Linked DNA regions of Schizosaccharomyces pombe. The protein of the gene in region 1 purifies or fractionates together with the protein of each later gene. This does not show direct contact. Each region holds a gene or a part of one and is shown on either strand. Other genes may lie near its edges.

Evidence for each region.
Region 2: the proteins of wdr83 (region 1) and ntr2 purify together in Schizosaccharomyces pombe (affinity purification with mass spectrometry; 2 studies listed by BioGRID). This does not show direct contact.
Region 3: the proteins of wdr83 (region 1) and pyk1 purify together in Schizosaccharomyces pombe (affinity purification with mass spectrometry, with the first as the bait; one study listed by BioGRID). This does not show direct contact.
Region 4: the proteins of wdr83 (region 1) and prp19 purify together in Schizosaccharomyces pombe (affinity purification with mass spectrometry; 2 studies listed by BioGRID). This does not show direct contact.

What each region holds. Positions count from the first base shown.
Region 1 is NC_003423.3:872,482-879,282, forward strand, and holds wdr83 (WD repeat-containing protein), read left to right. Parts: upstream 1-3,757; 5' UTR 3,758-3,868; coding exon 3,869-4,214; exon of another isoform or gene 4,215-4,259; coding exon 4,260-4,296; exon of another isoform or gene 4,297-4,339; coding exon 4,340-4,497; exon of another isoform or gene 4,498-4,537; coding exon 4,538-4,890; 3' UTR 4,891-4,987; downstream 4,988-6,801. Other genes in the region: dld2 (D-lactate dehydrogenase), read left to right, coding at 1-628, 676-692; pwp2 (U3 snoRNP-associated protein Utp1), read right to left, coding at 877-3,441; adl1 (DNA ligase), read left to right, coding at 5,023-6,801.
Region 2 is NC_003424.3:3,565,290-3,572,768, reverse strand, and holds ntr2 (spliceosome complex disassembly protein Ntr2), read left to right. Parts: upstream 1-3,223; 5' UTR 3,224-3,229; coding exon 3,230-3,326; exon of another isoform or gene 3,327-3,400; coding exon 3,401-3,477; exon of another isoform or gene 3,478-3,542; coding exon 3,543-3,628; exon of another isoform or gene 3,629-3,676; coding exon 3,677-4,502; 3' UTR 4,503-4,787; downstream 4,788-7,479. Other genes in the region: RNA-binding protein Csx1, read left to right, coding at 424-2,322; SPOM_SPAC17A2.07C (uncharacterized protein), read left to right, coding at 4,911-5,028, 5,131-5,546; WD repeat-containing protein Vps8, read left to right, coding at 5,940-7,479.
Region 3 is NC_003424.3:3,842,390-3,850,106, forward strand, and holds pyk1 (pyruvate kinase), read right to left. Parts: upstream 4,287-7,717; 5' UTR 4,154-4,286; coding exon 2,624-4,153; 3' UTR 2,354-2,623; downstream 1-2,353. Other genes in the region: SPOM_SPAC4H3.08 (3-hydroxyacyl-CoA dehydrogenase), read left to right, coding at 1-52; SPOM_SPAC4H3.09 (type II fatty acid synthase subunit), read left to right, coding at 1,027-1,188, 1,377-1,545, 1,626-1,633; protein Ppc89, read right to left, coding at 5,744-7,717.
Region 4 is NC_003424.3:5,127,727-5,135,842, reverse strand, and holds prp19 (Prp19 complex subunit, ubiquitin-protein ligase E4 Prp19), read right to left. Parts: upstream 2,621-8,116; 5' UTR 2,602-2,620; coding exon 2,544-2,601; exon of another isoform or gene 2,504-2,543; coding exon 2,399-2,503; intron 2,060-2,398; exon of another isoform or gene 1,914-2,059; coding exon 610-1,913; 3' UTR 501-609; downstream 1-500. Other genes in the region: srb6 (mediator complex subunit Med22), read left to right, coding at 10-420; rRNA exonuclease Rrp17, read left to right, coding at 2,905-3,008, 3,049-3,154, 3,202-3,603; RNA polymerase I upstream activation factor complex subunit Rrn5, read left to right, coding at 4,118-5,788; Rho-type GTPase-activating protein Rga3, read left to right, coding at 7,005-8,116. UniProt on the Schizosaccharomyces pombe protein: Probable ubiquitin-protein ligase involved in pre-mRNA splicing. May also function in DNA repair.

The DNA.
Region 1 (6,801 bases):
ACTTCACAAACCTTGGTAGATAAGTACAGTGGAACTCAACGCCCTTTAGAGGACGAACATCCATTTTATGTCCTTGTGGAAACCCAAGGCTCAAACAAGGAACACGATGAACAAAAAATAACTGCTTTAGTTGAAGATCTTTTGGAAAAAGAAATTATTTCAGATGGCGTTTTGGCTCAAGATGAATCCCAATTGCGAGTTCTTTGGGAACGTCGAGAAGGTATTACCGAGTGCTTAGCTAAAGCAGGCTCTGGTGTTTACAAATATGATGTTTCACTTCCTTTGCCAGTTTTGTACGATCTGGTTAATGATACAAAAAAGCGTCTTATAGAATTCAACTTACTAGATGACACCCCAGAACACCCCGTTATTGACGTTGTTGGATTTGGTCACATGGGCGATGGTAACTTACATCTGAACATAGCTGTGCGCCAATTTGATAAAAGAGTTGAAAAGTGTCTTGAACCATGGGTCTATGAATGGGTTTCCCGGCATAGAGGTTCAATTTCTGCTGAACATGGTTTAGGTCTTTTGAAAAAGCCATTCGTTGGTTATTCCAAATCGAAGGAAATGATTCATTTGATGAAAACTTTAAAAAATGTTTTTGATCCTAACGGAATTATGCTTCGTAAGTTTTTCTTTTGGTTTAGCATTATATCCTTACTAACCTATTAGCTTATAAATATGTCTAAGTATTTATCCTTACAGATTTGACTGAGTTGACTCAAATTTTATCCTTTACAAAGAACCTTTTTTGGTTCATATTTGGTTTGACCAAAGCGAATTAAGTTTTATTTTAGTTCCAACACTAAACCCTAACATAACAAAAATCTATAACCCTATGAATATTTAATGTAACCGTTGTCAAAGTTATTTTCATGCCGTATTTTCCAAACGTAAATGCATTTTATCTAGTAAAAAAGATAACTGGAACTCATTGTTCGACGATAATTGAGAAAGACGTTTACTTAAAACGACAATCGATTTTTGCAAACTGGTTAACTGACTAGCAAACTCAAAATTCTTCCGTCTTAAGTATTCACCATGGTACGTCAGTACAGACTTCATCCATCTCAAATGAAACTCGATATGGGGCGTTTCGGCGGCAAACGAACTTAAATACCCCATGAAGTTAGCCAAGTAAGATACGGGAAGTTCTTGGACTACATGCTCGACATCAGTTATGGGAATTGATTCATAGACTTTTTGAACCACTTTATATTCGTTAAGACGAAGAGCCATTACCAGAGAAATCAAGAACTCTCCTTCCGCACACATAGTAAGAGTGGTGCTTGGTGTGATATCCATATCTAAATTAATAGGATCAAACAAAAAGTCATTATATAAAGAATAAATCATCAGCCCTTCAGTAGTAGCTGCTGCAAACGCTCCTCCGCTTGGAGAAAACTGAACGCCATGACAGATAATTTCAGGGCGTGTTTTTCGAGCAGAAAGATCTCCACGTCTAGCGCCAGGTAACGTACGATCGATTCTGTCTTCCAAATCAGACTCTTCACCTTGGGTATCGATTAACTCGATAGACCCAGCTTCAGTCATCTTTCGACTATTCAGCATTTCTTGTACGCCTTGCAATGATTCGTTTTTAGATAATTGGAATTTTTTAATTAGGACGCCAGTAATTATATCATACAAGCAAACATACTTGCTAGTGCCAGCACTTAGAACGCACGAACCATCAGCAGAATAACAAATAGAGGTAAATGTTTTGTTCAAAGAAGAATTTTCAGCAGTCCGAGCGTCATCAAATCTTCTTCCACCAGAGAGATCTTTTCGACCGTCAATCAAAGATGTTTGTTTTCCTTCCTGAACGTTCCAAAAAGTCAATTGCCCATCAAGTGAGGCTACACAAACCTCTTTTCCGTCTGGATGAAAAGCAAGGGATAGAACATCCGATGGAATTGGCAAAGGCTCAACAATACCACTTCTGCTGAAAATGTCCCAAATGCGTACCGTCTTATCCCAACTTCCACTAGCTAATAAGCTACCGGATGAATTAAAAGAAAGAGATGATACTGGGCCCTCATGACCTGCCAATGTTTCTAATAGCTGACCAGTTTGTACAGACCACATAAATATCTCAAAACTGTCTTGCGAGCCTGCACAAACAATTTCGCCTGATGGATCAACTGCAATGCAAGAAAACTGAACCCGGGATGGAGCCGTAAAAGTTCTGAAATTACGATAACGTATGAGGTCCCAAGCTCGAACTGAACCATCAAGAGAGCTACTAAAGAGTACATTGCCTCGCTTAGAAAAACAAAGGCCAGATACTGCAGATGTATGCTGAGTAAATGTAACGATACAAAAACCAGAATTCATATCCCAAACTTTTATTTTTCCATCGTCAGCACCAGTAATTATTCGCTGACCATCAGAAGAGTACTGCAACGTACTCAACGCATCATAATGTGATTGCTGTTTTAAAACATATGATTCTGACTGCCATTCCCAAACAAGCAATTGTCCAAGTTTACTAGAGCCAATAGCAATCCAATCTCCTGTCGAATTTACAGTTAAAGTATCGATATTAGATTGGGTAATGCTCAATTGGTATAACATTGTAAACGAAGGTAATTCATATATACCAAAAAGCCCGCTAGAGAATCCCACTACCAACAGATTGCTAGTAGGATGAAAGGCTGCGCATCGTAATTTTGAGTTTTGGTTGAAATAATGTCGTTCCTTAATCAACCAAATATGCGTCCGAGTTTTATTTTCCTCTGCCTCTTCGTCAATTACCTCTCCTGCTTGGAATAGAGGCGAGTATTTCCAAACAAATAGGGCGCCATCTTTGCTCACAGTATAAATGGTTTGTTGGTCTTTAGAAAAAAACCCCGATACTACTGTATTTTTATGACCAGTAAGAGCACAGGGATGAAAACCTTCGATAGGGTCGACAGAATGTAAACGAGCGGTCAGATCCTTTGAAGTAGATATAAAAAAGCGAGAGTCGGCTGACCAAGAAATTGAGACGATGTCGTCAAAATGGCCAGTATATTCACGATGCAATACAAAAGGAGCAAATTCCCTTTCCTCTAAAGAATTAGGCGTACGCCAAACTTGTATTAATTTTCCCAAGGAAACCGCAAAAAATTTGCCATTAGGAGAAAACTCAATTGCACCAACTGGTGACTTAAAATTAAAATAATGAAGCACACTTCTTCTCAAAAAATTGCATAGAATGCATCGTCCTTCTTCATCCACTGACAAAAGAAGTGTAGATGTAGGTGACAAAGCTATATGAGATATGTTTTTATGATTTTCAAAAGGAAACGTATAAGACGTGTTATCTTTTAGGTTGTATACGCTTACACGATTTCCAACAGGACTTAAAATAGAAAATCCATCAGGAGTAAAGACTAGATTACCTTTAGAAAAGATTGTTCCTACTAAGTTCGAAAACCCAAATTCAGTTTTCATTTTCTAGTTCAATCCGCACGTTTTATGCGGATTATAACCTAATTAAAAAAAGAAAACAAGTAATTTGCAAAGGAGATTTCCTCAGAGTATTTCTCAGGACCTTTCCAGCAAACTGCGGAATCTTGGTATTTGGATAGTTGTGAAGTTTGTCACACTCAATGAGAGGGCCACGACAAAAAATTTTTGGATACATGTCTTGAGTCTACAGTTTACGATAAAACAGTTTTAATTGGATTTTAATAAAAAAATTTTGAAATTCAGTAGATTACCGTCAATCAAAAAATATTTTTATGCGGTGATTTGTAGAGTTTTCCTTACTTGTCTAAACATAGTATTTGACGGTCATACATTTTACAAGCTCTGTATTACAGGTTGAAGAACTGAAAAAGATCGTGTTCCTAGCATCCTTTTGTAATGCAAAAACAGTATGCGATTGGAAGCTAAAACTAAGCTGAGCTCTAAAGCAAAAGAACCTATTAATGTCGTAAAATATAACAGGACTGGAAAGTACGTCCTTGCTGCTGGTAACGAAAGGGTTGTGCGACTTTGGAATGTAAAGAGCGGCGCATGCATACATGAATATGCTGGACATGGTCATGAAATACTAGATTTGGATTTAGTCTATGACAGTACAAAATTTGCTAGCTGCGGCGGTGACAAATTCATTCAAGTATGGGACGTGAATACTGGAAAGGTAGATAGAAGACTTGGAGGCCATTTGGCTCAAATTAATACAATTCGTTATAACGAGGACTCCTCCATTTTAGCTAGCGGTGAGTGTGATTGTTACGAATAATCCAAAATCTAATTGTTTACAGGTTCGTTCGATTCTAAAGTTCGATTATGGGATTGTCGGTATGGGCTATTAATTCTGTTTTTATTCTACTAACTTATTTAGTTCTAATTCTTTTAGCCCTATTCAGGTCTTAGCAGATGCGAAAGACAGTGTTTCTTCTATCGACATTGCTGAGCATCTTATAGTTACTGGATCAACTGATGGCACTTTAAGAACATATGATATTCGAAAGGGAACATTGAGTTCAGATTACTTTTCTCGTAAGTGATCACTTGTTTCAAAAATTAACAAATTAAATAGATCCCATTACATCAGTCAAGACTTCTAAAAGCGCATCATTTTCTTTGATCTCTTCTTTAAATTCATCTATTCATCTACTTGACCAAGAAACGGGTAAAATCTTGAAAAGTTATATCGGTCTGAAAAACATGGAGTACCGAGTTAGATCTAGCTTTAATCAAAGTGAAACAATTGTTTTCAGCGGAAGTGAGGATGGTAAAGTATATCTATGGGATTTAGAAAATGAAACCCAAATAACATCCACTTCCGTTGTTGGTACTCCAATTGTCACTGATATATCTTGTCATCCTACTATGGATGACTTTATCATAGCTACTGTTCATGGTGATTTGTTCATATACCAGTACAACTGACCACCTCAATTTCCCCAATTGCAATTGTGGTTTGAATAGCTGGAAGCGAATGCTGAAATTTAATTACTAAAGGATTTTATTAAGTTTAATTAAATTAATATCATCTATAATGCAATATTTGTAGTCTATAATATGCCTCCCAAAAAGCGCATGAAAAATGGCTCTTCTTTAAAATCTACGTCTAAAAAGGGTGAGAAAAGCCGAAATATTATTACAATTCAAGATTTGTTTTCAAAACGAGAAGCACAGCTTACAGATACACCAAACAAATTGCTCACCGATCACGATCAAAGCGCCAGCGATTATGCTTATGCATTAAAGCTTCAACAGCTTTTTGATTCTGAGAACCAAGCTACTGCTCCGGAAAAGCTTCCTAAAGATGTAATTATACCTGAAGAAGAGTATCATACTGACACATTTAATGTTGTAAAAGAAAGCAATGATAAACCTAAGGAGAATTTAGTTACAAGCGAAGAATGCAAAGCTTCTTTTTTCTCAACTGATAGCGTGAACAAAGATTCCACAATTGATTACGATGCTTTACAGAAAGATCCTTTGACTTACGTGAAAAGTTGTCGAGCCCGATTTGTTTCAAAAGATACAAAAAGCTTCAGTTACTCATCACTTGCTAACACCTTTTCCTTAATTAGTTCTACCAAATCCAGGATACGCATTGTCACATTATTAACCAATTTCCTTCTCACACTTCTGTATGCAGATCCTGATTCCTTAATTGCAACAGTTTGGTTATGTACCAATTCTATTGCCCCCAACTTTTATGGAAAAAACCTTGGTGTCGGACCTGCAATGTACTCTAAAGCTTTGAAAGAAGTTTGTGGCATTACAGCAAGTGCTTTGAAAAATTTATGGAACAAATATGGCGATCCAGGAGATGTAGCGTTCGAAGCTAAAGTGTCTGTGCGCACGTTAAGCAGACCAGAACCTTTGACTATTAAGAAGGTTTATTCTACTTTACTAAAGATTGCTGACAGTAACGGTAATGGTGCCCAGAACCGTAAATTAGAGTTAACTAAATTTTTATTGATAAGTTCTAATGCTGAGGAGGTTCGATATATAGGGAGGAGTATAATGCAAAATCTAAGAATAGGGGCTGTTCAAAACACCATGTTAGCTTCACTAAGCAAAGCTTTTTTTATTTTTGACAATCAAAACGAAATATTTAATTTTAATTCTGACTCACTTCAACAACAATTTCGTCAAGGAGAAGAGATTGTTAAACAAAGTTTCTTTCAGGTCCCTGATTATAACATTTTGGTTGCAACCCTTCTTCGAGAGGGGATAGAAAACTTAAAAGACAATATGTCTATTCGCCCTGGAATCCCAGTAAAACCTATGCTTGGTTCTATCACAAAGAATTTGCAGCATATGTTAGAAAGATTGACTGATCATAACTTCTCTTGTGAGTTCAAGTACGATGGACAAAGAGCACAAATTCATTGCGATAGACTTGGAAACATTAAGATATTTAGCCGCCATTTGGAGGAAATTACAGGAAGATTTCCGGATGTCATTGAAGTTGCTCAATTAGCATTGAAACATTCATGTGATTTTATTATAGAAGGCGAATTGGTGGCTATTGACAAAAGTAATGGTCAGATACTGGATTTTCAAAAACTTTCAACTAGAGAAAGAAAAAAAGTTACAGTGGCTGATATTACAATAGACGTGTGTGTTTTTGTTTTTGATATTATGTTTTGTGATGGGAAATCTTGCTTACAAATGCCTTTAATTGAAAGAAGAAGAATGTTTTTTGAGCATTTTAATTTAATTCCAAATCGCTTTCAGTTCGTGTCTTCTTTGGAAACAAATGAGGAGCAATCCATTCAAGAATTTTTTAGTCTTGCAATTACTAATAAATGCGAAGGATTAATGGTGAAGGTACTGAATGGA
Region 2 (7,479 bases), on another chromosome or scaffold:
CTCATTTATTAATTTCCTTTTATTTCAGATCGATTTTGATTTTTATTCTTCCAATCCTCTTTAATACTCGATCTTTGTAACACTTTGTTTTAGTACTTCTTTTATTCCTGAATCTTTTTTTTTTTGCTCTTACCGTTACACTTTACGCAAGCAAAAAAAATTTCTCTTTTTTTTTTTATTAAATTGTTCTTGATTGTTCTATTAGCATTTCTTCATCTCAAGAGTTCTTAGACCTCTCGCTTTTTCGTCCTTGATTTATTTGTCTGTACGTTATAAGCTAAGCTTTATTTTGTTCATCGTTGAAAGATTCTACCACCCATTGTCTTATACTGGTTACGTTTTTTGACTTTTGTGTCTCATTGAAACTTTGTTGTTCATTCATATTACTTACTTTCTTTTACTTTTTTTTGGATATCTATTTAAATGTCTATTGACTGCCTTTATCGCCGTTCTTCATTGTTTGATACTTCCTTCGTCCCTTTGCATTCGTCTATTCCAGCAACCTCGAAAATGTCAGCTTCTAATTCAGATGTCAATGCCCCCATTTCCCCTGTGGTTGATGAGGGCAAATCAGAGTTAGTTTCTCCTACTTTGGAGAGACTTGTGGCTCCTTTCAACTGTTCTCCTAGCTCCACTCCACTTCAAGATGTAGCAGGTGTTGGCTCGAAAATGAGCGACACCTTATGGATGGGTGACCTGGAACCTTGGATGGACGCTACTTTTATTCAACAGCTCTGGGCTTCCCTCAACGAACCTGTCAACGTTAAAGTCATGCGCTCCAAAGCATCCTCTTCGGAAACGCTTATCAGCTATTGCTTCGTTCAGTTTTCCTCTTCTGCAGCTGCTGAGCGTGCTTTGATGAAGTATAATAACACCATGATTCCTGGTGCTCACTGTACCTTCAAGCTTAACTGGGCTACTGGTGGCGGCATTCAACATAACAACTTTGTTTCCCGTGATCCTGAGTTTAGTATCTTCGTTGGCGACCTTCTTCCCACTACCGAGGATTCGGATCTTTTTATGACTTTCCGTTCCATATATCCCTCATGTACCTCAGCCAAGATCATTGTCGATCCCGTTACCGGTCTCAGCAGGAAATATGGCTTTGTTCGCTTTTCAAGTGAGAAAGAACAACAACATGCCTTGATGCATATGCAGGGCTATTTGTGTCAAGGTCGCCCCTTACGCATCTCTGTCGCTTCACCAAAGTCTAGAGCCTCCATCGCCGCCGATTCTGCCCTTGGTATCGTTCCTACTTCTACTTCTAACCGCCAGCCTAATCAAGATCTTTGTAGCATGGATCCTTTGAACACTACGGTGTTTGTCGGTGGCTTGGCTAGCAATTTATCCGAGAAAGATTTGCAAGTTTGCTTTCAGCCCTTTGGAAGAATTTTGAACATCAAGATTCCCTTTGGCAAGGGATGTGGCTTTGTCCAGTACAGTGAAAAATCTGCTGCTGAAAAGGCCATAAACACTATGCAGGGTGCCTTAGTTGGTACTTCTCATATCCGCCTCGCGTGGGGTCATAATACGCTTCCTGTATCTGCCTTGTCTCAATCTCAATCCCAAGTTTCAGATGAGGGCTTCGACAGAACTCTTTCCGCTAACCAAATTTTCGGTATGAATCAATCTGTCATTGGAGCAAACTCTGGCAGCTCAAACTCATCCGGCTCTAGCTTGAAGAGTGCACCTGTTTCACCTCGTACTGCTGCTGCGCAATCTTTGTTGCCAAACTCCGTTGTTTCCTCAATCAATGGCATGAACTCCGTAAATTTTTCAACCATTTCTCCACCTCCTTTGTCTCGTTCAGCCTCCATTTCTCCTACGTTGTCCGGTAGTGGCTCAGGTTTGACACCTCTTTCTTCCCATTTCCCTTCAGCTGCCACTGGCTTGGTAGGCGGACAGGTGTATCCTCAGTCTTCTGTTTTGCAATCCTCAAAAATTAATGGTTCTGCAAAGGTCCAGCCTAGTGTGAAGCTCCCCGAATGGTTGCAGCCTTTTTCCGGCAACAATCATAACTCCTTTGCTACTCAAGATTTATTAACACGTGTTTCCTCCTTAAAGTTGGTTGATGATGAGCAACCTGCTTCTTTGAATGGTTCAGCATTTCAAGCGAGAGCTTCTAGGCCTTGGAACCTAGGAAGGGAGCGTCAGTCTTCACTAATTGATCTCCGTCATGAGTTGGAGCAAAATGAAAACGGTTTGGAGAAATCCGGCTTTGGTTTGAACTTGAGAGGTCGCTTGCCTCCTCGTTCTTATTCTACATTTAATTGTACTGGTCAATACTTGCAACCTTCTCTACGCTTGTCACGCGATTCATAAATTATTTTTATGATGTTTGAAATGCATTACTACTACTACTATTTGTTTCTTCCACTTCTCTTCTTAAGTGAAGGGATTTCCCGAATATTCTTGTTTTATTTCTAATGTTTTTGTTTTAATTTTTTATTTATTTTCGTTTTTCAAAGGCATCCGTATAAGTTTTCGAGGGCTCCTGATCAAGTTAGTTTAATGTCTTAAAGAACTGAAGGGTGCTCTCGTGATTTTTTTTATTTTGTTTTGTTTTTATTCTTGTATGTTAAATCTCTCTTGTGATGTTTTTTATAACTGTTGAATATTATTTGTGCCAAGGATTGTTTTATTTATGATTGTTTTATTTTTCTTTCATTGCTGTTGTTCCTTAATGCACATATGTACATGAAAACTTCCATTGAGGTTTTTCAAACGTCCAAATCTTTTTTTTGGATCGATGAGTTATTTATATGTTTTATTTTAAAATGTCCTTTCCAAAAAATAATTTTGTTATTTTTTCTTCTGATTTTCTAAATAATTAAAAGCATTGTTTTTGTTTTCAACTTATATAATGGAAATTTTCCAGTGACTGTAGTAGATATTGGTAGCTTGTCGATTGTAGCTTTTCAATTAAAAGTTTTAAATCTGAAACTTGAATTTCAAACACATTTCTCTAAAATTAGTCGAAAAAAATGTAAGTCAATTGAACAAATACTTTTCTGATGCTTTGCATTATCCGATGCACCTCTTCAGTATGTGCCATAATATTAAATGCCCAAGTAAAGACATTTATGTTTATCCCTTTCTAATTTTCACAGAACATAAAAACATCATTTTAATTAAGACTTTATATGATTTTTTTTTTACAAAAATAGCTATTCAATATGAAAGATTGGTAGAAATATGTTTGCCTAGAAAGTAGCACCCATTTACCAACATGCGACGATACTTAAAAAAGGCGAAGCCTAAAATCGTGCAAACGAGCGACAATGAGGAAGAAAAGCATGAAGAAAATTTAAACGTTTCTCAATCAAGTAAGAACTTAAAAGCGCAAAAGTGCTTGGGCTCGAATAGAACTTATTATCGCAAGTGTACTAACAATGCTTAGACAAAAATGCAAATAGAAGAAAAACAAAAGCGAAAGAAAAAAATTCGGGAAAATTTAGGGTGAAATATGAGAACGAGGTAAGTTGTTTTTTGCTGGAAAACGTTTTACCAATTCATCTGTTATATTAACAAACATTGATTAGGAAGGAGACGACGATGGGGAGGATTCTCAAATCCCTTTGATTCCAAAGGTAAAAAAGCAAAGCTCTTTTCATTCGGTTGATGATTTGTAAGTAAAATGTTTTAAGTCCAAGTATTAGTTATCTAATTAATAAAGAATATCGCGAAGAATGGATGCTCTCTCGCATGAAAGTGGATACTCCAATGCTTATGTGGATGAGTTAAAGAGAAAAAGTAGGCAGACACCATCAGAATTTACAAAGAAGGAGGAGGATTCCTCGACCAAAGAAAGCGAATTGCAAACAAGATCGTCACCTCCTTTACCCGTTAATACTAGTTTGGAATGGAATATGCTTAATCAAGGCATTCCTGAGGAAGCAATGATTAAGGAGTTAAAGGATCGAGAAGGAAGAAAGAGAAACATTGCCATGATGACGGATAATTACATTTCACTTGAAACAGGGGACCAACTGATGTTGGCACAAAATCATAAAGAAGAGAAATTGCTTCAAACGGAAGACGAAATTCAAGATGAAGGTTACTCTGGATTTGAAAATTACGTGGAGGAGTCAGAAAAACTTCAAGAAATATACCACCATAGCTCGGAAAGTTTACGGACACGATCAATTCAAATGGCCGTCGACCAGAAAAATATGGAGATGGAATTGGACGATGAAGACATAGCAGAGCCCATCCAATCATGGGAACATACTCAAATCAAGAAAGGTGCCTTTGGAGAATCTCCTGCTTTTACAAATGGACTTTCTGTGAAGCTTCCTAATATTCTTACAATGGATGAACAAATTCAGCGGCTAAAAGAAGCAATAGCTTCTGAGAAGCTTCAGCAGGAGGAGCGTTCACAGATTATTAAATCACTTATGGAAGAAGAACTCGAGATTAATGAACAAGAGGAAAAGATTAAACATTCTTTCATTGATTTAGATAAAACTTTGTTGAACAACCTTACCAAAAGCAAATCCTGATTTACTTTGGATTTTTTAATTGATAAAAAAAAAACAAAGAAGAAAGACATGGTCGATAAATTTACTTAACGCTATAACTTAGATTTACATTTCTTACAGAACTCTTATCCTTGTACAGTATTAATTAGCTGTTACAGCCCATCGGTGACTTGTTGAAATAGAAAAACAGTGCCAAGAAGTCACCGGGAATTACAAAAAAATAATGACCCGATATTTATGGAGATAATAGATATTAATTGCTAGAAGATTTCATTAGCTTTATCACATATTAAAGTTATAGCCTCTGAGTATTCAAAACTTTAGTAAGTAGCATTGTCACTTACAATGGATTTTGTGTGTTGAAGAGAATACATTTTACCTACTGCCAAAAAGTGGGTTTACAATAAGACTTGTCATTTTATCGTCTCAATGGCTCTGAAAAGAAGCTATTATGCGTCAAAAGATGATTATTCGACGAAAAGAATCCTCGAAATTATCGAAAGGCCATTGAAGAAGCTTACAATAGAGGATACTTCAGAATATGATGGTATGTATACTATCGATTAACCTTTTGAATAAATTTAAAAGGGAAAGCGAATTCTCTTACAATATCCTTTATTCCATGTCAATATATTAACAGTCGGTGCAGATTCTGATATTGAAATGCCAACCTGCAAGCGTGTAGCTTACTACAAAAATGAGTACACAATTGTTGTAGAAGACTTGGATGCTGAACTGGAAGAAGATGACAGCATAAATAAGCCTACAGAAGAGGCTGACGAAGCTCCACGGACACAACTTTCTGTGATCTCTCCTTTGGAAAAGAAATTGAAACGGGATTTTCTATTTTTGCTCTTGAATTCGAATCGGCAGCCAGGAAAATCATCTGGCAAGTCTTCAATTCCTTCTCCTGATGATTTTAAGCTATCGGTTAAGTACTCTTCTTCATCCGAAGATCTTGGTGCAGTCACCATCGAATCTCATCTTAATGTTTCCAGTGATGCTTCAATAAAGTATAAATCCAGCGGAACTAGTCAGTCTGATTTACTAATGGAAATTGGATGATTTATGCTCAATGACTGCATGCTGTTTTCATGATATATTATACAGTATTTGTTCACTTTGATTTTGAAAAATCGGAATTTTTTTGAATATGTTGACTGATAATTTAAAATAATTTTAAATATTCCTAACAACTCTGTTTTTCTCTACATTTTTCAAAGCACCTGTTTCTGTTGACACTCATTTAGTGCACATTAACGCTGAACGCTAAGGTTCTTGTCTTTTTCTATGACCTCTGTCAACCGTTACATTAGACAACGGATTCCCTAATGAATTGAGCTTTATCATTAGATACTTTTCTAGACAGTAGAAAATACTGTTTTTTGAGTAAATGCTGAAGAAGCTTTAACTCTTAACAATTGATTCCAATTCACATTCACATTGAGTCTCGCAATCATGCAATCCAAGTATGGTAGATCTTCCTTAAAAATAAAAAATGGTGATGATACTCGGACACTAAGAGCTCTTTCCTTTTCCAAGGACTCCGTTAATAGCTCGTCTTTTGACAATGAAGCCGCAAGCACCACCCTTGGAATTTCAACTGCTATCCATGCTTCCAATCGTCCTTTTAGGCAAGATGAATATTCATGGAATGATTGTTGGATGCGCTGGGGACAGTTACGCAGGGTTTCTTCCCAATTGAGAGAACTCAGATTTACCATGAATGATCAGCCTGCAACTGTCACGTCTATCGCTTATCAAGGTACGTTGTTAGTAGCTGGAACATCCTCTGGACACGTATTGTTGAATGATTGGCGAACGAATGACTTTCAAATCCTCAAGCCTGGTTTATCTTCTAATGAATCCGTTACTCTACCTGTCACTTCTTTAGCGATTTCGAATTCTAAAAGAATTGTATGCCAAGGACATGCTGGTGGCATTATTTTTGTTTGGGATGTTAGCCGAAAGCCTCCCCTACAGTTGTTTACAATTAATCAACATTCGGAAGATTCTGTGTTGACACACCTCGTATTTAATGGTAATTCTGATGATGTTTTACTTTCTACCGATCATCTCGGTAAAATTGCTGTTCACGAGTTTTACAATTTGGTTATTAATAAACATTGCACTTCCTGGAATCTAGATATGTCAAAATCAAATAGCTTAAATTTAGACTCTATTATTGTCGATACTTCCAGCATATCTTTTGAAGAACTTCACATTACAGGTGTGAAGCATTTTTCTTTCGTTGTACTCCAATCTTTACAATCGATTCAAATTGTGACTCTTTTTCCTAAAACTACTCTTATTTATGAATTCAAATATCCCGCCGGAATTGTTTCTTCTGCTTGTCACTCATTTTCCTCAAGTATAGTTCATAAAAACGGTGAGAATACCAAGCTGCATGCATTTTTTGCTACAGCATATAACAACAACCTTAGGTTGTATTCGGTTACTTTTCACAAGGGATACATGTCATTACAACTTATGGATAGAAAAAAATTTGCCAAAGCAATTTGGAAGCTCTGGTGGTTTCCTTCTAGTAGCATTATAATAATTTTATTCGATGATATGGAGTTAGCTTTTGTTAATAGCATGTCTTTGGACATCATTGGCACTTCTACCATATTGGATAAATCTCTTTTAAGGTGGGATTGGTATTCAAACTCATTAGCTGCAATTGGTGTTTCACAAACCGTTTTTCCCTTCATCTCCTCTAGTTTATGCATTTCACCTCGATATATGTTTGTTGTCAATTCTGAAACCGTCTCAGTTGGATCATTTTTAATGGTTTCTGAGCAATTACAAATGCTTTCAGAACGTTATGGATTTTTTGATTCAATTAAATTTGGGAGTTATTGTGTTTCAAATTTAAGTATTTTCCCCAAATTACTGTTGGAGAAAACTTCTGTGATTAATTTGATTATGGCTCTGTATGTTAAATTGCTGAAGTCATTGGCCCGTGATTTCCCTGCTAGATCTCCATTTGAAGCTA
Region 3 (7,717 bases), on another chromosome or scaffold:
CATGACAGGCCAAACTCTTCATCCTAACGGTGGAACTGTGATTAACAATTAAATTTTAAAGGAAGACGACGTTCATTTACTGTCGTCTATTACTTTTTTGGTTTGAAATGAATAATGCAGCAATTTAATTTTGCTGATCCGGATGATTGTTGAAGTTGTACTTTCATATACTTTTGAGATGTTCATTCTCATGAAGACAATGCATGATTTATGATAGCTATTTTGGTTCCAGTATATGGAAATGGATGAACAGTGAAGAAACCTTTTAATTTCCTCTATCTTTGCTTTCATAGCATGAAGAATGTTTATGATTTTATTTATACCTTTAGAATTACGGATATCTACGGTTATACACTGTAAACAGTGACTAACTAAAAATATTTTTTTGTCCTTAAGCTATTGTAAAACAAGTTTGTATGGTTCATAAATCATCTCTTATTTAGGCATTTAAATACTTGTATGAACTCCTTGAAATGCATTTGTGCAGGTAGGAAATCCATTCAAAATTTACATAGATACTCTTTTTCAACTGAGGAAAATATTATTATTTCCTTCCCCCTGCTTTGTAATTAATTCACTCTTCGTTGCTCTTTCATTAAAGACTAACTAACTTAGTATGAATCATTTGATTAAAAAAAAGTTGGAATACCAAATTGTTATTTTCTTCATATACTGCCATACACGTGCTTGTCAAAATGGTAGAAACAGAGTAACTAGAGAAGCATGAGTCATTTTCCAAGACAATGAGAGTAGAGTGTTGAAAAATATTTAACTATTCTACAAAAAATGATGACTAAAGTAAAATTAAATAGTTACTATACTCAAACATTTAATATTCTTAAATTTCAAATTTCAAATACCCAGTTAACGTGTTGTAACGAATCCTTATCTCATTCTTAGCCTACCCATTCGTATTCTAATACAATTGTGGGACATCATCATCTTTGTCATCTACCACCTATTAAAAGATAATAGCGGAAATTGCAAATTCATTGTTAAGTGCTTTGCTAGTTGTTTAGAAATAAAATGCTTTCCCGTTTTTCTTCCCAGTTGCGCTTTATTTCCGCAGTTAGGCCGGTGATTCCCAAATTTCAACCTTTGCGATTTTATAGCGTTGCTCGCCCTGATGCTGAAAAACGAATCCTTAAAGTTGTTTCTTCCTTTGACAAAATTCAGGACCCTAAAAAGGTATGTTTTGCATTCATTCAGTTGTTTTTTTTCACTCTATGTGTAATTTTGGATCTTAACATTTTTGTTATTTCCAATTTCAAGACTCATTGTAAAAGTCGTCGGCTTGAATTTACGAAAAAATTTTTTAGGTTAATGTTATCTTTGTTTTTTCTCTTTACCCCTATGCATTCTCTCTAACCATTCAGGTCACACCTACATCAACATTTGCGAATGACTTGGGTCTTGATTCTTTAGATGCTGTCGAGGTCGTTATGGCTATCGAAGAAGAATTTAGCATTCAAATTCCTGATAAGGATGCAGATGAAATTACTTCAGTCGGGGATGCCATCTCGTATATTACAAAAAACCCCGAAGGTATGAACTTTTTTTTCTCCTGAAACGTAGCGTCTAGCCTATATCTTTTCCTACTGCTTCTACGTACTAACTTTATACAGCAAAATAAATAATCCATCTGGTCTTTCAAGTATACTTGACTAGATAGATATTGATTTTATCCAATTGGTAGGCTTATGAATCAGAACAATTAATTCCTCATTCTCTCTCATCTTTTGTATTTTCAATGAAGATTTTCTTGCCATGTATTGTTGAATATACTTATACTTTGGCTGTTGACCAAATTTTTTTTCCTTCTTCATTTTATAATATTGATTTTTAAATGTAGTTCTGCATTTTATCTCTTCAGAATCTACGTTCCTATTACTTGTAGTGTAAAATACAACTTGTTGCAAGAATGCATAACCTCTTAATTTGCATTGTTCACGCAACTACGATGAAATTGTTCGAAAATTGAGCACTGATATACAAGTGTGTATAAATACTCCTTTAATTCGTGGTATATCAATTCCCATTGCTCTGGCTTAGCTAAGCTTCTCATATATTTTTGAGAGACAGGAAACGGCATAATAATACCAACAATTTTTTTGGCTAACTAATGGTAAAATTGCTTATTCATCGATATAAGCATGCATTCAGTACGACTATTTTTCCAATTGCTGAGATACTAGAGACAATATGACAAACACAACTAGTTTCATCAGGCACTTTTCGCCCGATGAAAATACACAAACTTGAAATCATTAAAGTTCCACACCGATATACTAATGCAATACAACAATCACTACTATACAACAAAAACTAGCCATACTACAAAGCACATAAAAAATTTCTTATAAAACAGCTTATGCGATATTCTGGTATATAAGCTAAAGTCATAAAAGTCTAGTTATTTTCTAATATTAAAATTGAAATTGCCAAAAAAAAGACAAAAAAAGAAACATCAACTGTTCTGCGAACCATGTATGCTATAAATCCTCTCAACAAAAAAAAGAAGAAATCACCTGTACCAGCACGGCCCACACTCGAAAATTGAAGCTTACATTCCAAAGCCCTAAGAAATCCTGGCTTCGCAAATCACTGGATCGTCATAATCAGCTTACTCGGCAACGGTAAGACGGAAGATGGAGGTGTGACCCTTACCACCAACGGCACCTTGAAGGACAATGATCTTGTCACCCTTCTTGAGGATGTTCATCTTGTAAGCTTGTTGGCAACCGTAGGCAACACGAGCGTCAACATCCTTTTGCCAGTCAGAAAGAGGCTCCTTCTCGTAGATGACGGGGTAGACACCACGGTTGAGGTGAGATTGACGAGCTCTTTGAGGGCAACGAGTAACCATAACAATGGGGATAGAAGGACGGTACTTGGAGCAGAGACGAGCAGTGTTACCGCTGGTGGACAAGACAACGATGGCCTTGGCATCACTCTCAATGGAGGCACCGATGGCAGCGACAGCAGTGGTCTCGGTAGCACACTCAAGAGGACGACGGACGAGGCCGAACATCTCTTGGTAAAGGCTGCCGTAAGGGATGGAAGCCTCAGCAACACGGGCAGTCTCAGCCATGTAGGTAACGGCTTCAACGGGGTAAGAACCCTTGGTAGTCTCACCGGAAAGCATGACCAAGTCAGCACCATCGAGAACGGCGTTACCAACATCGGAAACCTCGGCACGAGTAGGACGAGGGTTGTAGGTCATGGACTCAAGCATTTGAGTGGCACAAGCAACGGGCTTACCAGCGATGTTGCACTTGGCAATCATCATCTTTTGGGCGACGAAAACTTGAGAGGCAGGGATTTCAATACCCAAGTCACCACGGGCAACCATGATACCGTCGGTAACGTCAAGGATAGAGTCAAAGTTGTTAACACCTTGTTGGTTCTCGATCTTGCAGATGATCTTGATGTTCTTACCCTCCTCACCCAAAACTTCACGGATGTGGATAACGTCCTCAGCACGACGGATGAAGGAAGCAAAGATCATGTCGACACCGTTCTTGACACCGAAGCGGAGATCGGCCTTGTCCTTCTCGGACAAAGCGGGCAAATCGACATCAGTCTTAGGCAAGTTGACACCCTTCTTGGAAGAGATCTTACCGTTGTTGTTGACACGGACCTTCAAATTCTTGTCATCAACCTTCTCGATGACAGTGAAGGAAAGGATACCATCATCAACGTAGATGATACGGCCAGGTTGAATGACCTTGGTGATGTTCTTGTAGTCAATGTACATGACCTTGTCGTTACACTTCTCGGCATAAGCATCGTCGGTGGTGAAGATCATCTCGTGACCAGAGGAGATGGGGTAGTCAGTACCGCCAACGGTGAGACCAGTACGAATCTCAGGTCCCTTAGTATCCAAGGCAATGGCCAAGGGGAAGAGAGGGTTGGTGGCAGAGGCCTTACGGGCATTGTCAATGACGGATTGGTGGTATTCGTAGGAACCGTGAGAGAAGTTCATACGAACAATGTTCATACCAGCATCACGGAGCTTGCACAAGGTCTCAACGTTGTTGGACTTGGGACCAATGGTGCAAATGATGGAGGTACGACGGTTGACAGCGGGGATATCAAGCTCGCTGTTGAGGCCGGCGACCCATTGCTTAGGAGAGACAGCAGAAGAGGACATCTTTCAAAACCTATATTATATGATAAAATAAATGTAGGAGAGTATTATATAAAGAGCTTTAGAAAAAAAAGAACAATTTCAATTTTTTTCTGCAGGCTACTTTGATGTTGTGGGTTTAGTGGTTGGTAGAGGTACCTTTTTGGTCGGGGGATTGCCTGTATATAAAGGCCGGGAAATGTAACTTCGGAACAATATCGTAACCATACGGTCGTTTTTCGGAAAAAGCCTACACGTACCCGGAATTCTAAAAACATACCGCTTTTTCTTACAACTCTAAGTATCAAATCGCTGTATTTTTTTAAGTTATATGCACCTGACTCACTTACCGTTCCATTCTCCACCGTCACCCAGCCGGTGGAGCGACGTGAATCCCTTCCACATCCCGTCGCCCCAGTTGTTTCCCTAATTCCATACCGTGCGCAACAACACACATTGACGCGTCCCAAACTCTCCTATCTCTACTACTACCCGTATAAGCATGAGAAAGACGCGAAAAATCCACCTAAACATCCAACTTGCGGTGTTTGTTTACATTTGGCACCTCTGCGTGAATAACGCATTACATTAACTCTCGCTGCTTCCGTCGGCTGAGGAATTTCCAAAAGCTTCGAACTCGTTCTGCAATGTGACTTGCTATCAATATCTCGTTACCAGGAACCGACGTAACCTGACATAGTTTTAAGCAACATCTTGCCATTCTGGACGATTATGTAGCAACCGAGATAGGGAGTTGCCCGCCAATCATCGGCTTTTGCGAAACTTAGCAGCGCTTTCTTTAAGAGGTCAGTAAGGAACTACTGCAGAGTAGAGCGTAATTACCTTGCAAAACGGCGTACTGCAAAGTAGTATGTTATGCTAGATGAGAAAGAGACAGGGCTGGGAATATATGTCTGGCTAGTGGGTAGAAGCGCTAGGGGAGAGGACAGGGGGCAGAGGCAGAGGACAGAGGCACAAAAGGTAGAAAGGATGGGTAGAAAAAGGAAAGTGTCAGGAGCATAGTATGTTAGATCTGATATTTAAGGCAATCCACGATAACTCAAAACAATCCTATTCAGCCTTCTCGGTGGCTTTTGATTGATTGATCGACAGAGTAGCATGATCGACAGTAGCGTAATTTTTCGTAAACATTTCTTTTCATTTGTCTATTTGACTAGTTTAGTTAACTTTTCTACGAGTGTCATGAATTGAAATGCTAATAACTTTCTCTAACATTAAGCGAATAATCACTAGCAAGATATTCCATATGGAACACAAGTGTGTTACTTTCGTACATACGGTATTACCTTATAGATGTAGGTGTATTAGTTGAGTTGCAGTATTACTACTGTATAGACCACAGGATGTTTTGTTGTAATTACTTTTTATATATTACCCTCTCTTGGAACTTCTTCTTTACTTTTTCTATTTCATACATCTTTATGCGTGCTTTAATATATCATATTGTCACTAATTCATGTTTCAAAAAAAAAAAAAAATAATAATAATAATAATAATAATAATAATAATTATCGATGCAAGAAAATGAATTTTCTCTTTTCATTCTCCGTGTTATCTTCCCTCTCATCCACCGAGCCAGCCGGTATCTTCTCTTTAGCTAAAATCCTTACCAACGTTGACGTCGTAGAGCAAATATATCTGATCCGACTTGCTTTCCATACACTCAATCAACTTAATTAGCTTATTCTTAATCTCTTGACGTTTATGCTTGTGATAACCCGGTGTAAGGGAATTATAGCGGTCAGAAAGTTTCTCATAACGCTTTTTCAATTCCATCAACTCATTCGTTAATTGATTCACTACCGTCTTAAGAGCCTCGCTGGGCGGTTGACTGGGTCTTAACGTCTGATCAGCATACAAACAATTCGAATGCGAAACCTTCTGCTCCCCTCTTATCAAGTCTTCTTGACGAGCATGACACGCATTGCACTTGCCAACTCCATGAGCTGCACTTTCATTGATAATGTGTTCCACCTGCTTAAGAACATGTTTCGGTAATTCTTCTTCATTGGGCTCATCCGGTACTCCAGTCGTTCCAAACTCTGAACCGTTATGAAAAGTTCCTTGATTCCAATCAAAGCCTGCTTCATTAAGGTAGCTATCCTCGGCCAATTTGTTTCCTTTCATCGAAGAAGAGCTTCTTCGCCTCGGCAACGTTGCTTGTTTCTCCTTTTCAAAATCACCATCATCGGATAAGATATCAGAGTACTCTGAGTCAAGAGATATCTCTTCACTACCTTCATCAGACTCAACCCCCGACGCGACATTCGGCGAATCGAATACGACTTTGCCAGTAATACGCCTTTTTGATTTGGGTCTTCTCTTTCGATGCTTGACAGGACCAGCCTTGTTTGATTGCGATAGTTTCAGCTTAAGCTCCAGAGACTTCCTCATTTCAATTTCTTTGGCCAATTCTTTCACCAAGTCTTGGTATCCCGAAGTCGGTGAAGTGGAGTCTTGTTGAGGAGAGCAATTTTCTTTGGCAGTTTCCGTTCCATTGCTCATTTCTTTAGTGTTTGCGCCGGATTTGTTTTCAAATAATAAGTTGTTGAGCCCGTCTTTCCTTTCGTCTGCTTCATTCATGGACAAGGGTTTTGAACTGTTTTCCGCAGTCGACTTTATTTTGCTTGTTACATTAGATTCCTTCTTATCCAAATATGTCTGAAGTTTCTCTTTTAATACTCGATTCTCATTCAAAAGTTCATTATTCTCAGAGATCTTATTACCCAGACGCATAATATAACTCTCTCGGTCTAATAATACGTTCTTATAAACAGATTGAATATGTTCGTATTGCTCTTGTAGAGATTTCAAATGTTCAGACAAGCGTTCTTTTTCTCGCTTGACTGTGTCATAGCGAGAAGCAGCCATACCATCGTCAACGTTCGATTCACCAAGTTTTGTAAGCATCTCCTTTGACATTCGTTCCTCTAAACTCCTAGCACGTCTTTTCTCCCTGTTATAGGCGTCAGTAAGAAGTTCTAATTTGTCTTGGAGTTCGTCAATTTTTGCGTTGCATTCATTACGCTCTCGTTTCAAAATTTCAAATTTTTTCTCCAACAACTGGTGAGCATTGAAAAGTTGTTCATCTGTGGAAGCAACGGGAATAGTGTTTAGCTCGGGTAAACGATCGTGTTCTTTAGCATTACCGTTTTCATCTATTGTATCATCGCGAATTAAAGAAGACAAATTAGTCAGATTAGGCAAACGGTAGGATGTTTGGTTATTAAAATCGACACTTGGCTCACTGTGATTTAGGCCTAGTTGCTCCATGAGTCTAGCAGAGGCCTTGTAAGAAGAAGGAGTCTCCTTACCTGAATTAAGGTTTGGTGTAGTCTTTGAGCGAAAGCCGTTTCGTCGCCATGGGGTAGTGGGTTTGGGAGGCAGAGCCTCTGTAGGTGAATCAAATGCTAGATTTTGATTTTGACGATTTGCTAAAGGAGTATATTCTGCAGGCTTCTTAAGAAACGAAGGGGATGCATCTAATTTCAGGTTGCCATGATCATCCAAAACACCCTGCTTTTTAAAAGCACCTAGAAATCTATTGCGATAATCAGGAGTTTCGTT
Region 4 (8,116 bases), on another chromosome or scaffold:
AAAGCTAGTATGTCTTCAGACAGTTTCCAACGGCAGCTAGTTCAGCGAACTAATACTTTAAATTCGTCTATTGACAATGCTACACTAACTATTTTGTCAAGGTTTCAAGACATACTGGATATTGCTATAAATGAAGGCAAAGATAAATATACGGTAGCACCAGAGGTTTACCAGATTGAATGCCATACTGTGTCCATGGTTCGCGCGGTAGAACAGTTACTGGATGTTTCTCGACAAATTAAATCATATTGGCTCACTAATTCTCTTTCCACGTCTTTTCCGACTGTCGATTACAGCGAGCCTGATCTTGAGAAAGTTAAAAGAACTCTTACTAAACTACAAAATCATTTACTGGAAGTCAGTTTAATTGAACCAGAAGCATCAGAAACAACTGAGGCTCCCACTGTTTCTGACACTTGAGTTAACTCACATAAATTATTTTTTGCCAATTAAACCAAATGTCAAAATTTAATGATACATCTATCTGAAAAATAATAGTTTGCCTAAATATTTCATTATGAAGGAAATCACTTAAGTTAAAGAGCCAAAATCTTACTAAATACGAAAAGCCTAATGGAGGAGCACATAATTAAAGGATTAAAAATTGGGTTAACCCAACCGGAGAATGGCTCCATTTGAAGTACTAAACAACAACTGGTGTAACTCATTTAACCAAACCAAATTAGAAATAGAGGAAACATGGGTTTGACTCATACATCTCCAAGACTTTGAAGATTTGACATAAATATGTACATAGAGAGTCTCCCCATCCGAACTTACCAAAAGTTGACTAGTAATATCTAATGACACTGCTGCGACTTTGGTTTGTAGGGGTATTTTTTGAACAAGCTCAGATTTTCTTAAGTCCCAAATGAAAATGTCAGAGTCATCATTAGTTGTTACTACAAGCCAATAACCGTTTTCACCAAATTGTAATGTTTTAACTGGACTTGAATGTGGTCCAAATTTTGTAAGCTCATTTCCCGAGGAAGTCTCAAAAAAGCGTAACTCGCCATTCTCTAACCCAGCGACAAAGAGGTTACCGTCCGGATGTACAGCAAGAGATGTAATGTGTTGAGCAACGGTGATATTATAAACCTGGGATTTCAGGGAGAAAATATAACACTTTTCGTTTGATGCTGCTAATAAATATTCCCCACTTGGATGAGCTTGAAGGAAGTTCACCTTTTCGTCTATAGGAATGGACGAAGTAGGTTCACCCACACTTTGTAAACCAGATGAGGAAACAGGAAATTCAAAAATTGAAATGGCATCAGCAGTAGCGACAGCAATCTTGGAAGAAGTCAACCAACAACACGCTAAAGCTGATCCTTCAAAAATTTTGAGAGTACTGTTGGATTGGATATCTAGACATAAAAGTTCATCCTTATGAAGACATAATACAAAAGAAGAATTTTCAGGGGACGGGAAGAAAGACGTAGTGCTTTCTGTTTCCAAATTTTCTAAGATAGTAGAAGGAGTAGCTTGCAAGAGCTGACTCACAGCATCGTCAGTCGCCCATTTAGGTTGTAACTTTGTACGTTTCCTTTTGGAAGAAAGTTCTTGAAATGTTTTTTCCACCGTAGAGCGTAAGCTAGTTTTAAGCTGGTCATCACTTTCGCCCATCTCTACCTCTTGTACTTCAATAGTTTTCGAGGAAACAGTGCCTATGTTATCGGAAAATTTCGCCAATGCTTCTCTAGCTTCGTCTCTTTCTTTGGTAAGCCGAGATATAACTCTTAACGCAGCATCTAGCGAATACAATGCCGTTGATAACTCCTGCTTCGTCTCTGTAAGATTTCTTCTAAGTTCAAATTGCTCAAGCGCGACAGAATCCCATTCTTCTTGAAAGAGAGACAGCAATGCAGGCAATGAAGTGGCAGAAGGAGGTCGAGGTCTAACAAAATCAGGTACTGTTTAAAGGTTAGCAATTATCTTCGATTTGATTCGCTTTATATGTGAATGGTCAGTACAATCAAAATATAGTAAATATAAATCGCATTGGAGAGCAAAAACCAAAAAAAATCTAAAGTATTAATACATTTTCCTCAACAACTCCACATTAATTTTGATAAAGATTTGTTTTGATAAATCCGACAAGGTTGTTCTATAATTCTCTAAAAACCTTCCTAATTTCTGCCCCGAGATATTGACATGCACTAAATAGTCCACTTTTTAAGGAGAAATATAAAGCTGTAAAATTAAAAAATTTCGAGTACAAATCAATCATGCAATAAAATACATTATCAACAAAAAAAAGAAAATAAACGAGTTCTTCAACCAATATTGCAGGGTTTTACTTTCCAAACCAATTTCAGAATATTCAGTACTCCACGTATAAAAAAATAAGTGCTACTTGAAATTCTTAACCATTCAATAATAAAGAAGGAAATCTTACCCTTTACAGGAACCAAGTCCTCCAACGTGCATTCCTGTTGAGTAACAGGGTCTTTAGACGTTTCACGAATAACTTGTTCAATCAAGCGCTTCTCGTAAACATTTCCTACATTCAGTCAGACAGGGAAATTATTGTACAAACATACCACTTACACGAGAAATCACCGGTTCTTTTGGCGTTTCTCCACTGATTGAGCAAAACATTCGGCACACGTTGGTTTCTGTGTGTAATAGCTAGAGGAAAGCAATGCATAGCCAACTAATCGTTTACTGCACTATACCAATATCCGTATATAATATAAGGCAAATGCGATGCATTTTGCAAATAATTTTCTAGTTAGTAGTGCAAATGTACGTACAAGGCATAGTAGGGTTTCAGTACCTCTCGTCTTCATAAATCTACTGGACCATTACGAGACTGGATAGAATTGGAGATAATTTACTTAAAATCACTACAGATTCCCATAAATTGTCCCTCTCTTCTAGCTACTCACGAACTGTTGCATCATGGATAATACATCTCTACTAACCCGTGGAGGTGAGATTTACAGCAGGAAGAAAGGGAAGAAGCAAAGATTGGAGGAGATCGTCTTTGATAAAGAGAAGCGAAAGTATGGATATCATAAAGGGATTGCTACTAACTTGTTACAGAGAGTATTTAACTGGATTTCATAAACGCAAAGTTGAACGACGAAAGCATGCTCAAGTTCAATTGGAGCAGCAAAAACGCGAAGAACGTTTAGCGTTGAGGAAATCTGTAAGTTTTTCTAATACTATCTTGAGTATATCACTAACACTATTCAGCTCAGAGAACAGCGCAAAAGAGAACTGGCTGAGCGATTAGCATTCTCTAAAGAGTTGAATAGCTCGCTAGAAAATGATGAAGAATCTTCACAGCAAGAAGATTCCTCATCTAAATCTGACAGCGAGGAAGAGTCATCAATGGAGCCTAAAACTACTGAGTATGACGAAGATGATAAGCATGTTACGGTAGAAATTGTAGAGGACGATGATGATGAAGAAATTGCTTATCCTAAAGAAGGTTTTGTCACGCCTCGTATTTCTCCTCCACCAGATGTTCCTTTGCGTCCCCACAAGCCTAAAAATGCCGCCAAAAAGAAATTTCGGTATGAGAGCAAATTTGAACGTACACAGGACAGAAGAAAAGAAAAAATACGTCGTTTAAAGAAGAAAATAAGACGTTAAATTAGGAACTTCAAGCACACGTTGTTTGACGCATCTTGCCCTTTTTTTATATTTATGAATATGGTTGGTATAAAATGATATTTGAATTCAATTGTCCATTCGTTTTTCAGGTTGAGAATTTTTGGAAGTTAACAAACTACTTTACAAGAGATCATTACATATACGGAGTTTTTCTTGGTCTGATATATGCATTTCAGCCTTTTTCAATTTTTTGTTCACAGTTTTGATTAAGGTGTTTGTACATGCGCAAAAAATTTGTACTCAATAAGCGGTAAGCTAGATTTTAGCACGATTTATATTTTTTTATTATGTTTAAAACCCGTAAATTTTAGAGATACTCTACATTTATATATTCCTTTGGATTTTAGTATATTAGCGAAATTCACTAGAATACCGAGTTTGATCTTTGTCAGAACACAAACCACGTCTGGTAATGTGGTAAACAAAAAAATATTAAAAAGAAGACTGCAACAGCTTTTATTTCATTAGCGTTGATCATGTTCTCAATAATAACATGTCTTCTTCAATAAACGGATTAAATGAGAGTGAAGGGTCAACGCCTTTAAGCACTGCATCTATCATTGGCTCAAGTGAGCAATTGTACATGACTCATGATGAACGATACCTAGACGTCCTTCAACAATACGAAGTTGAGACTGAAAATAAGCGTGACTTTGATTTGGAAGAAGAACAATGGGGCGTTCTTAGTGGCTCTTGTGTGGATGGAACTTACTGGAGTGCAGAAGAAAAAGAACTGTTTTTTCAAGCGGTTGCTCGAAATGGGAAAAGAGATTTAGATTTGATAGCTTACTCCATTCCTTCTAAAAGCGCTGTGCAGATCGAGCGTTACATAAATGCCTTAGAGAATGAGCTACGTTGGCTTCGTAATCACGTAGACGCATCCGTGCGCAGTCAATGTTTGTTGAAATATGAAGATATACCTATTGCAATGGAAATGAGTCAGAATTGGATTGATTGGGAAGAAAAAATTGCGGAAAGACTTCTTGAGGGTTCGAATATCTCAGGGGTTGAAACTTCACACTATAATGCGCAAAGTGTCAAAAACAAAACCTCAAATGAGGATTTATTTGATACAAATGAGATGAGAAAGATTTCTGAACGGTTTTATCATTTCGATCGACAAGCGCCTTTTCCAAGCAATCCACTTTCTGCTGGCGCTACGGAGTTTTTATTACAAATCATTAAAAGCAAGTTGAAGGAATTAATCGGAACATCTATATTTTTGGCGGAGTCTAGGTTTAGGAAACTAGAGGCTAACAATGCCTTTCATAGAAAACCTATTATCAAGAATAGAGACGTTGTTCTGTCAGGCAAATTTTTACGATTTCACCGATTCAATATACCCGGATTTTGGAAGTATTTACCCACTAGACAAAAGATGAATGTTTACAAAAGAAACAAACGTCTCAAATTTCAAAATTATATACACATAATGGAATCTGATGAAAGACAATCAAAACTGAAATTAGGACGAGTCAGAGCACGGAAGACAAAAAATAACGAAAACACCATGTTTTTTGATTCTAAGGAACATTCGACAGATGAAAGCGATGGTAACCTTGGAGAACATGATGTAAAGCGCAAGGTAGATTCTGTACCCGCCGATGAGACTAGCATCAATGGTTTTAAGAAATCTGTTAATCAGGCTGAGTATCCTGATAATGCTCAAATGTTCATGGATGAAAGTGTCGCAGAAGAAAGTCTTGTGGAAATTGATGACAGCGTCGAAGCCTACGACATGATTCAATCCAAAAACTACGAAAGCTTTGTTTGGAAATATGTGCTGCATTTAACCGATGAGATGTCGACAGAGGACGCTCTTTTTGAAACTATACCACTTAGTAATTTGCTGGCTCAAAAGCGAATGAAAGACAAGTTAAAAGGTTCCGACGTGTTTACGACTCTTAAAATAACTTCCAAGAGCTTGCACAACATTGACGAACATTCCGATAGTGATGATGAAGTTCAACCTATATGTTATTATTACAAGGATCCAGTTGTTTCCCATGCCCCGGGTGCAGCTGAAGTCGTATCTGAACTTGAAAGCGGATATGTAGGGTTAATATCCTATGATTTGTCTAATCTTCCAAATAGTACAGAAGATCCTGAAAGGAAACTTGCAAAACCTGTCTCTTCTTGGGAGTTGTCACTCCCTTTAAAATAGATGTCTTCATTTTCGAACTACAGTCTTGAAGCCTTTACAAAAACATAAATTGTTTTTTAGCGCTGCCTCTGTGTTGGATAGCAATCCTTTCTTTTTATCGTCATTTTCTGCCAAGTTTGTTTTTTCCTAGAAAGAAAATTTAATACTTCCTCTTTATAGCAATCAGTTATTGCCATTTATAATGATGAGTCCCAGTGTTCACAATATTCTGAAACTTTTTTTGTTAAAAACTGATTGCTTTCTTCCGTATAATTGTCCCAATATTCGCACCACAACTATAAAAATTTTTTTTAGGAGCCTTTACTTCCTTCTTAAAAGCAATAGTTACTTAATCAATTATAGCGACCCCGCTATTTGAGATACACATTTTATAAATTCTACACTTTTTGGAAACGAGCATTTTCTCTTGTCCCTTTATTTGACGATCCGACCGTTCACGCTACAAACGTCTACAAAATTTTTTTCTCTAGAAAGCATCTCTCCTTCTGTTTACTCCTGTTGCTACCGAAATTTTTTCTTTTTTTTTGTCCTCTGTGTTTTTTGATCAGGAATGTATATATCTTTAACCATTTTTTAGCGGGTTTTTTCTAAAGGTAAAGCTATTTAAGCCAGAAAAACAGTTCATTTTCCTTTTTCCTTCTAATTTCGGCAATTTCCCTTTTCACAAATATCACCATTTTTGAGTGGAAAGAAAAGCCTAGAGAGCGGAAACGCTGCCAAACCCATTAAAATTAATTATCTGTAATATTATAATCGTATTTAATAGCTATTCATAACACCCGTTTCGTCTAAACTCCCGTAATAAACCATGTGACTTTTGGCAATTTTACGCACCATATCGTAGAACACGGCGATAATTTCCATAGTGTTTCGCTAGGCTAGGGCAAGGCAAGCCAAAGACCATAGTGCCATGTGTACGACGCATGCAAATTTTAAGGGATTAGAGTGAACGACTCGCTACTGCCGTTCTCACCGCTCCACTGGGCAATGATGCCAACAACTGCAGTAATAATTATTCCTTAGCCATTTACCAATTGTTTCGAACTTCAATCATAAAATTGGGAATATTTTCATTTACTTGATGGGAAGCTGAGGAATGAAAATAGGTACCCAAAGGAATCGTTGTGAAAATAAAAATCAACAAAGCCAAATTCATGACGCTAGATTGAAGTTCATAACGTTTAGCAGGAAATAAGAAGAGCATATATACGATAAGATGATATTTCGAAAAAGTATTTCCAAATCTCCATCAAGCAAGGGAAGCACAGTATGCTTTCGCTGCGGACAGGCATTTCAACGTAGAGAGACACCTATTTCGTTTGGGGGTCATATGTGGCATAAGGATTGCTTCTGCTGTACGAAGTGCGATAAAGGATTGGAGCACAGTGATCAAATGCTGGTGCAAACCTCTGATGGACGACCGGTGTGTAGCTCTTGCGCCCATACCTGTACAGCGTGTCGTATGAGGATCAAGGACTATGCCCTAATGTCAGGCTACGACTCCTATCACAGAGAGTGTTTTCGTTGCCATGATTGCCGAAAGCAAATAATTGACTCTAACTTTAAAAGAGATAATAGGACTATATTTTGTAATGATTGTAAACAAGTCCGTCACCCTTCCAGGTCTTCAGACGAGAGCGCTGATTATCACAATTTTGAGGTTGATGTCACGATTAAGCCCACAGAGACAAAGTCTTCAGTGGAATCTAATAAGTCTTTAAGCATTGAAATTATGTCTCCTCAAAAGCCACCATTATCACCTTTTGGTGGAAGCAGAGACCGCTTAGTTAGCGAAACACCGACTAACATGAGTCAGGCAGAAGGGGGTAATGTGCCGAACGATGGACAGGATAGTAATCTTGCGTCTAATTCTGCAGATTCGCTGCTGCCTAGTGCCAAAAATCGAAGTTTTTCCTCGTTTACGAGTTTTGAATCGCCGATGAAGTATGACGATTCTTTCTTTCCTATTTCACCTTCTATATCTCCGTTACAAAAAGTTAACAAGCAGCAACAAATTGAGTCTCCTACAGCCACATTTCCGTTAAGCAAAAATACTTGGAAGAATCGATTCCATACGTTTCACAAACAATCTTTTACTCCTGTTAACGATAGCTCTTCCTCGGACAGCTTAAAACCCACAATTAATGAGGAAGCCCTGGACGACTTTGCTGGCTCTGCTTCTCCTTATAAAACCATGTCATTGACTGACCGAGCAGAGCCAATTGTCATGAATGGACATATGCGTTCTCTTCACAATGCCACCTCTCCCTTTCGGCCTTTTTCTCCCTCTTACAGGTCGAGTGATACGCATTCACCGAGAACCCGCTC